2 linked regions of the Drosophila melanogaster genome follow. The protein of the gene in region 2 interacts with the protein of the main gene of each other region in a pairwise test. Each region holds a gene or a part of one and is shown on either strand. Other genes may lie near its edges.

Region 1 (3,882 bases), on a different chromosome or scaffold from region 2:
ATTAGAAGGACATACGAAAAAGTTAGCAAATTGGCTACCTTTTAAGTGCTCTTAAATTATGCATTCCTATAAGTATTCCCTATACAATGTATAGTCCAAAAGGTAATTGGTTCGCACGAAGGAACCATTCGAAACAAATTCTTTTCAAAAGTGTAAATATATTGGCGTAGGCGGGAGAAAATAACTCCACTTTTTCGTAGAAGTGGCTTGGCGCATCTGTTGGGTTCGCCTGCCACAGAAATTCGTGACCTGAAGAGGCAAAAGGGGGCGTGACCCAGATTTGAAATACCCATGTTCTGCAGCATCTTTTGGTGTCTCCTTAAACTGATTCTGGGACTCATAACTTGAAGAGTCAAACGGTCATCGCCAAATGTTCACGACTACTGTTCGAATGTTCTTTCAAAGGTCGGTCTTCCGATAATTGGCCGTTTTTCTTTTGCAGCCTTTGATTATTTGCTCAAATATATTTTTAGTGCATTCTTTATGTAAGGTAGTTTTGAATAGTAATAGCCACATAAAAATAAAAGAAATAGTTACATTATAAAAGTAAAACAAATTTATTTCTGTTAAATCGTTCGGTATCTCTAAATCTAAGCCTCGGTGTCCTTATTTATTATGCCCGGATCGTTAGAAAATATGAGCCTCTTCTGCGAGGTATTCATATAAGGTCGGTTAATCCATTCCGTGTCAGCTGCCTTGATGTTCTCCAAAGTGCCGAGCTTAATTTGGTACAGCTTCAGTGAGAATCTGGGGCCCACTTCGGTAAGCTCCAACTCCTTGTTCACATATTTGTACTGATGATGTCTGAATATAATCGAGTCATTGTGGTTTAGGAAAGACATAACTCTTTGGGAGTTCTCCTTGGGCACTGGGAACAAGTGTTTGAGTATCTTAACAGTTCTCAGGCCAATGGGCGTTTTAAAGTTATTAAAAATTAAGTGTGGCTTCTGCTCGCTCATGTGTCCAATGTCGGGTATATCATGTCGCATAACCACATCGGATATGTTGAAGAAGGCAGTTGGCCCGTACGGAAGATGACAGACCACAAGGCTGTCCGGGATGCCACGATGCTCATGGACAATTAGGAAATCGGTTACATTATTGGCACGACAGGCGTGCATTAGTGTAGTCAGCTGGTAGTTTCCTCTGTTCATCTGCTGCGCATTTGGGATAATCAGCCGCAGTTCCTTCATGAACATTTTCAATCTCGACGAAGGGTTGTGCGAGGTGGTCAGCATTATTTTCGGATCCTCGCATCCGGCATAGTGATACTCATCATTGACAGTGCGGTCATCGACACCTGAAATACATAGATCCTTTTTTAGTGCAAATGCTTTTATAATAATTCTATTTAATACACCAAATTTGAGATTCAACGTTATACAAAAATCTTTGTTAATAACGCCATTTAACATCTATACAACGTTTTATAGTTAAAGAAGGATCCTTTTCAAAAAAAGACGGTTTTATCTTCTCAAATCTCAGGACACACGCGTATAATTGCACTAAAATCAAAATTTAATATGTGGTGTCGCTGTCTGCCTTCTAAACACGCATAGAAAATTACTATTTACTAATTGTAATTGTTAGTTCTTAACTACCGATAAAATCTCGACTGGTTATTTGGGAAACACGAATGCTACCTTTGTAAGCTCTTGGGATTTTAGCTTTCAAACGAAAACATCTGTATTGCAGATTCATCTAACAGCATAATTGCGCTATCATCTAACAGCATAATTGCACTGTCTTGAAACTATTTAAACATTATTTAATAAATGTTATATTGATATTTACCCTCATCCGCGTATTTCAGCGACTTGTAGGCGGTGAGACTTTTCTTCACATTTTTGGAGCCAATTGCTTTGTTTTCATTAATGCTTTTCACAACGGTCTCCTGGATTTTTTGTTTGGACTTGAGGCGCTCAGTGAGCGCTTTATTGTACAGGTATTCCCTTCGCTGTCTGGCTTGTTTTCGCAGCATTTTTATTTGTTATTATATTTCTGGTTGCACGTGTGCTGTTGAAAATAAATGAAAACAATACCCACACCACTGGATCACAGCCGATAACTTATCGATAGCTGCTGATGAAACGAATGGAAAGAAACACGGTGGATAATTCTATACCATATGTTTATTTTCAAAACTAAATAGTAATACAAGTAATATTTACTTGCAGGCTGTAAACATGTTGTTTTATTATTTATTCAGTAATCTGTAATGAATAAGCAAAATATATAAAATATTTATCAGTGACACTCATGAGATTTTAAAAAGCCCAGGGCCTTGCCGCTATCTTGACTAACACAAATATTTACGACTGTAAAATGTGCTAGTTGTTTAGTGTTTTTGCGCATTGTTTAAACAAAAATGCATTTATCATGGGTTTCGCTGTAGCCAAATCCCAGGACCAAGCAATATCCATTGCTTACATTGGTTAAATAAGGAGTTATGCACATATCTTGCTCGTTGCGGTAAAAAATTATGGCATCGTCGGTTGGCGGCCTAAAAAACATAAACAATTTGCGGCGAAAACATTGTTTACGCAAAACCTGAAAATGGTAAATAAAAAAGTTGACTTGCAAGAGTCTCAGAGTAATATTAAGTGTAAATACTATTTTGGCACCATTTTAGCAACATCTTCACATGTGTTTGCTTTGCTTAATTGCATTAGCGATACTTTCATATTTCGTCCATCAGCGACCTTCCTGGGTAACCGAAAACAAGGGAAAGATGCTCGGCTATAACGAATTGTAAGTGGAGATCAGAATATATATCACATATAGAAATAAAAAAAAACCATATATTTTATTAGTCCGGAATATAAAACTTTAGCTTTCACCTCCGGTTTTATGACCTCTTTCATTTCGGCCATTCCGGTTGTTATAGTTTCCCTGTTGCCAAACAAAGGCCCATAATGGAAAAGCAAATACACAAGGCGTGTTTGCATTTAATCAGATGATTCACTTAAACTTTCCAAGTAAACAAGTATAAAATTACCTTGCAGGCAGACTGGGAAACCCCCGCTTTACATCGTGGTGGTCTCCTGCGGTCAGAGGGTGCAGGAGACTCTGGTTATGATTAAGTCAGCCATTCTGTTCAACTACGACGAGGAGTACCTCAAGTTTGTGATCTTCACGGAGGACGGGAAGGGTGATGAGTTCAGGGAAAAGTTGACCGACTGGCGCGATATCAAGCCGTTTACATTTGACTTTGAGATTTTGCCACTGAAGTTTCCCAGTGGCAATGAAGTCGAGTGGAGGAATCTCTTTAAGCCATGTGCAGCTCAACGTCTCTTTTTGCCGGTAATTACTTCATACATCCATATAATTCCAAGAGTAACAAACCCTTATTTTTCTAGTCATTGCTAACGCATGTGGACTCATTGCTGTATGTGGACACGGATATATTGTTTTTGTCGCCCATCTCGGATATCTGGCGATTCTTTAAGAAGTTCAATGAGACGCAAATGTCCGCACTGACGCCCGAGCACGAGAACGAAAACATTGGCTGGTACAATAGATTTGCACGACATCCATTCTATGGCCGACTGGGCGTTAATTCCGGCGTTATGCTAATGAATCTCACACGGATGAGAGAAATGAAATGGGAACAGCATATCGTGTCTATTCATAAGGAGTACAAGCTACGCATTATTTGGGGGGATCAAGACATAATCAACATACTATTTTACTATCATCCTGATAAGCTGTACATCATGCCATGCGAATACAACTACCGTCCAGATCACTGCATGTACATGAGCATTTGCAATATGTCTCAAACTGGCGTTAAGGTTATCCACGGAAATCGTGGTTATTTCCATTCAGACAGGCAGCCACTCTTTAAGAGTATCTACGGGGCTATGGAAAACTACCAACTGG
Region 2 (5,207 bases):
CGCATCCTCTACTTGTACAAGTTCCTCAACCGCAAGACGAAGACGGGCTATTCACATCAGTAAAAAACCATTACAATCAAATAAAATATTTTGTTTAATCTGATATTGTTCGGAGTTAACTTATCTTAAGAGTATGCTCGGCTGCCATTAGGAAGCGCATTCTGCATCTGTACAAAGTTCCTGGATTCTGTCCGTCATACTGATACTGTTAATGCTTACTTTAAGACTATCCTCGCTTCCTCGCCATCGATCAGAATCTTCTGACCATTGAACAAGCAGAACTCACGTTTAACGTGCGCGAACAGCAGATCGGTGATTAGAAATATCTGCCCAGTGGAAAACGCAAGAGTGGCACCGAAATAGAAATTGGCATTTGCCGATCCTGCATAGATCCACAAATGCCAAAGGGCTCCCATCATAGATAGAGTGACCAGGAAGAACGTAAAGACCACAAAGCCATGGGCCATGACTGAAAGAAATTACCAAAGTGCTTAGCAGTTGAAATAACTACGTGAGCCAGATAACTTACATTTCCAACATCTTTTCCACAGCGGAAGCAAGGCCAGATAAAAGCCGACATCGCCCAGGCTGGGATACGCCCTAAAAACGGCCATAAGGGCCACCAATACCGTGGCTAGCAGTAGGGGCTCCTTGCGCAGCTTAATACTTAGTGGCACCAGGTATAATACGGTGGCATTCAATTGGAATGTGATTAGGAACATGGTGCGGAAGTGCTCAAACATTTCAGTAAAAAAGTACCAGAAGAGACCGATATTTGGCTGTAGATCGCGGAAATAAAATCTGTAAGATAGTTAAATACGTAAAAATACAAACAGATAACTAATAAGATAGTTCTTGCTTACATAAAACCCAACGTTCCATCCAGGAAGTTCCAGCTGTTCAGCACAAAATAGTTCGCAACTGCCACGATTAGACAACTGACGATAAAGAGCGCCGCTATAGCCACACCCCTCCTGACCGAATTCCGTGAAAAGACCAGGAGCAGTGGTGCTATAAGTACAATGGGATAGAAGCTGCGGACAGTTTCGAACGCGAGGACTAGAAGGCATGGAATGAGCATTCCCTTCACGAGGCAGTAGAAAAAGAAAGCCAGGAACAGATTGCTTATCACGGTGGAGGTCATTCCAATGCAGCTCATAACAGTCAGTGGACTGAAAAGATATGCCACGATCACAAGTTCCGGAATGTCAAGCTTGTCCAGCGGGCCAAACTGCAGCTCTTCCGTATCCTTGGCATACTCCTTTCGCTCCTTGTCCTGCTGATCCTGCTTTTGCTTGACGAATCTCAGACTCATCGCATAAAGCAGGGCCGCCGTGCAGATATCCAGGATTATGTAGAATATCGGCAGAAACTGCGGGTATTTTTGAAACAATCCGGAGAGCGCGCTGAGTATCAGCGGCGATTCGTGTACCAGGTCGCCCAGATAGGGATCAATGCCACTCTGTAGAAGAAATATCCCCTCTTGCACTGCAAGAATAACTCCATTCAGACTTGTTCATCTATTTGATGTCTACTTTGTTTACTTACTGCGCTTGTGTGAATTTAAAGGTGTCGCGAACTCCACTCGGTTGCCAATCATCGGAGCCAGCGGCGTGCGACAGAAGTAGAAGCGCACGGCGCCGCCCAGCAGGAGCAGTTTAAAGAACTTCGAATCCATCTTCTAGTTGGGCATAGTTTTTGTGAACGGACTCCGCCTGTAAAAAGCCGCCTACAGCTGGCTTGGTGGTGGCAAAGGCCTTCGATAAATTATCGATTTCCTTGTCACGATATACGGCTTCTGGTCTACTGTGTAAGCAATTATGATTTTTTTTAGAGCTTTGTTTTCTTCAAGTTAAATATATTTATTATTTTTGGAATAACAAATTTTGGCTCAAAACAGGATTCCAACTCGCATAAAGTTTTTAAGCTTGGAAAAACTTGTACTTGTATCACGCGCTCATCTCTATGTATCTGTTCCATCTCTCACCAACTGGTTGTTGTTTTTGGACCCGCTCTTGCGCTCGAATTGTTGGAATATATATTTCATTTAATTAAGCACAGAAAGCAGTAGTAAAAATGATTGGAAGTAAAAAATCCAAGGAGGCGAATGTCTTCAAGGAAATCGCAGAGAACTTCGAGCAGCTGACCAAGAATCCAGAGCGTTTTCTCCAGTTTGTTTTCCTTCCAAAGACCGCGCACGTGTTTTTTCAAACGTAGTCAAAACAATTTATATTTCAGGCCACAGCCGGAACAAGTGAATGCCATCGAGCAGCTTATCCAGCAGACATACGCCGTTAGCATCAGCGAGGATGTGGCGAACAAGAAGGAACTGCTGCCGGAATTGGTGCTGGAGCAAATGGACGAGGAGCAGATCTGGCAGCAACTGGAGATTCGCAACGAACTAGTGTTCCAACAGGTGCTGGAGCAAACCGCCAGGCTGACGGCGATGCGCGAGCAGCACCTGGGCATTGAACTGGACGATGGTGAAGAAATAGAGGAAGAAGACGAAGTAATACAAGCTGAAGACTCAGGCGATGAGGAACAAGATGAGGAATCAGACTTCAGCGACGAGGATGGAGGGCTACAAAAGCAGAAGACCGCGCCGCCGAAAGACAAACGAAACAAGCGACTACGCAACTCTGTGGTGGACGATACCTTCTTCAAGTTGGAAGAGATGAATGAGTTCCTGGAGCAGGAGGATGCCAAGGAGATGCGCCGCCTGAACAGCAAGAAACGCGTTGAGCAGGCCGATGATATAGATCATTTCGCAGAGGATTTTGGTCTTGGCGAAGATGAGGAGGACGATGAGGAGGGGAATGTCAACTATGCGGACTTCTTTGACATGAATGAGGAACTGACAGAGCATTCTAAAAAGATTAACAAAGGCAAGCAGAAAGATTTCTTCAATGAAAACGAGAGTGAAAATGAAAATGAACCGGATGAGGATGCAAATCCCAAAGAGGGCGATTCTGATCAAAGCGAAGGAGACGAGGGCGATGATGAACCTGAAAATGATCAAGATCCAGATGAGGCGGCCAGCGAAATAGATGAATCCGAATTCGTGGCAAAAAGTGGCATAGAACCTGCCAGCGATTCAGACTCGGATTCGGAGAAAGAAGAGGAGGAGCCACAACCCACAGAGCCACCGTCCCAATCATCCAATGAGATGAGAGAGGCTCGTTTGTTTCAACGCATCCGCGACTACGAAGACATTGTCCTAGGCGAGAAGCCTTGGCAGCTCAAAGGCGAAGTAAAGGCAGCCAATCGGCCCCAGAACTCACTGCTTGAGGAGATTCTCGACTTCGATTCGACCACCAGGCCAACGGCGCCAATCACGGAAGAGGATAACCGCTCCATCGAGGACATAATTAAGCAGCGTATTCGCGACAAAGCATGGGACGATGTGGAGCGCACTGTGCGACCGGTGAACACCCCGCAAGAGTACAGAAAACAACTTGTGCTTGACCAGGAGAAATCAAAACAATCGCTGTCGCAGATCTACGAGGCGCAGTATCAGCGCGAAATGGAAAAACTCGATCCCAATCGCGATGCCGATGACAAAACTGGTCCGGAACCGAAAGAACACCAAGAAATCAAGCGGGCAATGCGTTCCCTATTCCTTAAATTGGACGCCCTCTCCAATTTCCACTTCACGCCGAAACCGGTGGCGCCGGAGATCAAGATCGTAACGAACACACCAGCAGTTCACATGGAAGAGGTGGCCCCGCTGGCGGTGAGCGATGCCAAGCTGCTGGCACCCGAGGAGGTGTTCCGCGGACCCAAGCACGCTCCACTTGGCAAGACCGAACGCGATCGAACGGATAAGAACCGCGAGCGCCGCAAAAAGAAGCAAAAGCAGCGGGCCATCCACTCGGCTCTGGAGCAGCGCGAGCTTCAGCGAGCCAAGGAGGGCAAGGCGCCCACAAAGAAGGAAGCGGATGCCAAGCTGCTCAAGACAATCACCAAGAATCGCAATGTTCAAAAGGTATATAACATTTTAGTTTATCTCTGTTTTATGTTTTGTATTTAATTGCTATTCTTGAGCGATTTTGAATTCTAAATGAATCAAACTTTAAACGATTTTCTTGCAGATCAATGCCAGCAGCAACGACCAGGGAGCTCTGAAGTCCTCAAAGGCTTTCTTCCACAAACTGCAGGATACCGCAGCGGCTACAGCATCCAAAAAGCGACCGAAAAAGGATACCGCCAAGGCGGATGCCAAGAAGCTGAAGCTTTAAACGTACACGCTAGGACTCCTTCATATTGTAATTGCCTTAAGCCAGCAAAGTTTTCTCGTCTCCAGTCACGTGCCAGAAAGTTGTCACAAGCACACACGTATGCCCACATAGCAATCCTTGTTGCAAGAATATCTTTAGCATGTACTGTGTGTCTGGGGAGTCCCCAATTTGGTGCTCCATGGGAGATGCCATGTGTCGGTACTTTTAATGTTCCATGTGCGCGGATCCATCGTATGTGTATGTGATGCGTGGGCGCTTTGTGTGTGGCGGCGTGTGAGTCAAGGACATTCTGTGTCCTGTTGAGGCGATTAGGCACGCGTGCAGCTTGCGGAATTTGACTATTCTTAGAATTATTTACTTAAAATAACTGTTTGCTATGTAAATAGTACCCTAATTAAAGAAAGCAAAGCAAGTAACGTAGCCACTTGTTTTTTTGTTGGATTAGAGTAGAAATACTCAATCATATAATCATCATCATAATTTCTATATTACATTACAAAATTAAAAAATTTAATTTTATCTTCTAAGGGAGAAATAGAGATGGGATACAAATCGAAATCGATATGCTATAACGGTCAATTTTCCAATCGGTTTTGGTGAAACAGCTGCTATTGGTGCTCGGCCCTGCGAAGGGGGTGTGTATTGGCTAAAGTTGTGACCGTGCCTGAGACATCGGTAATGAAAATAGTTCCCGATATCGACTGTAGCTACGTTTTGCGATTCTGAACATATCGATATTAAAGCGTAGCACGTGTGGTTGTGGTGCATTTTAAATATAGTTTTGCTCGAGTTTTTACGCATCTGTCAAAAAAGCAAAAAATAATATGGTTAAAGTACAGAAACCGCAGCCCAAGTCGCTGAACAAGAGCGCCAGCATCGAGGGCGTGGTTAAGAAAAAGGGTAAACCGGAAAAGACCAAGAAACTGGCCACAGACGCTACTCTGGAGTTGGCCAGCAACAAAAAGGCAA

Evidence for each region.
Region 1: the proteins of CG13097 (region 2) and CG11920 interact in a two-hybrid assay, tested with the Drosophila melanogaster proteins (2 studies listed by BioGRID).

What each region holds. Positions count from the first base shown.
Region 1 is NT_033777.3:25,073,036-25,076,917, reverse strand, and holds CG11920 (uncharacterized protein), read right to left. Parts: upstream 2,042-3,882; 5' UTR 1,982-2,041; coding exon 1,795-1,981; intron 1,301-1,794; coding exon 591-1,300; 3' UTR 536-590; downstream 1-535. Other genes in the region: shams, read left to right, coding at 2,557-2,559, 2,633-2,751, 3,006-3,303, 3,360-3,882.
Region 2 is NT_033779.5:8,511,624-8,516,830, reverse strand, and holds CG13097 (uncharacterized protein), read left to right. Parts: upstream 1-1,962; 5' UTR 1,963-2,076; coding exon 2,077-2,171; intron 2,172-2,238; coding exon 2,239-3,985; intron 3,986-4,091; coding exon 4,092-4,238; 3' UTR 4,239-4,657; downstream 4,658-5,207. Other genes in the region: mRpL51 (mitochondrial ribosomal protein L51), read left to right, coding at 1-63; PIG-U (phosphatidylinositol glycan anchor biosynthesis class U), read right to left, coding at 216-469, 530-801, 864-1,488, 1,549-1,678; CG13096 (uncharacterized protein), read left to right, coding at 5,063-5,207.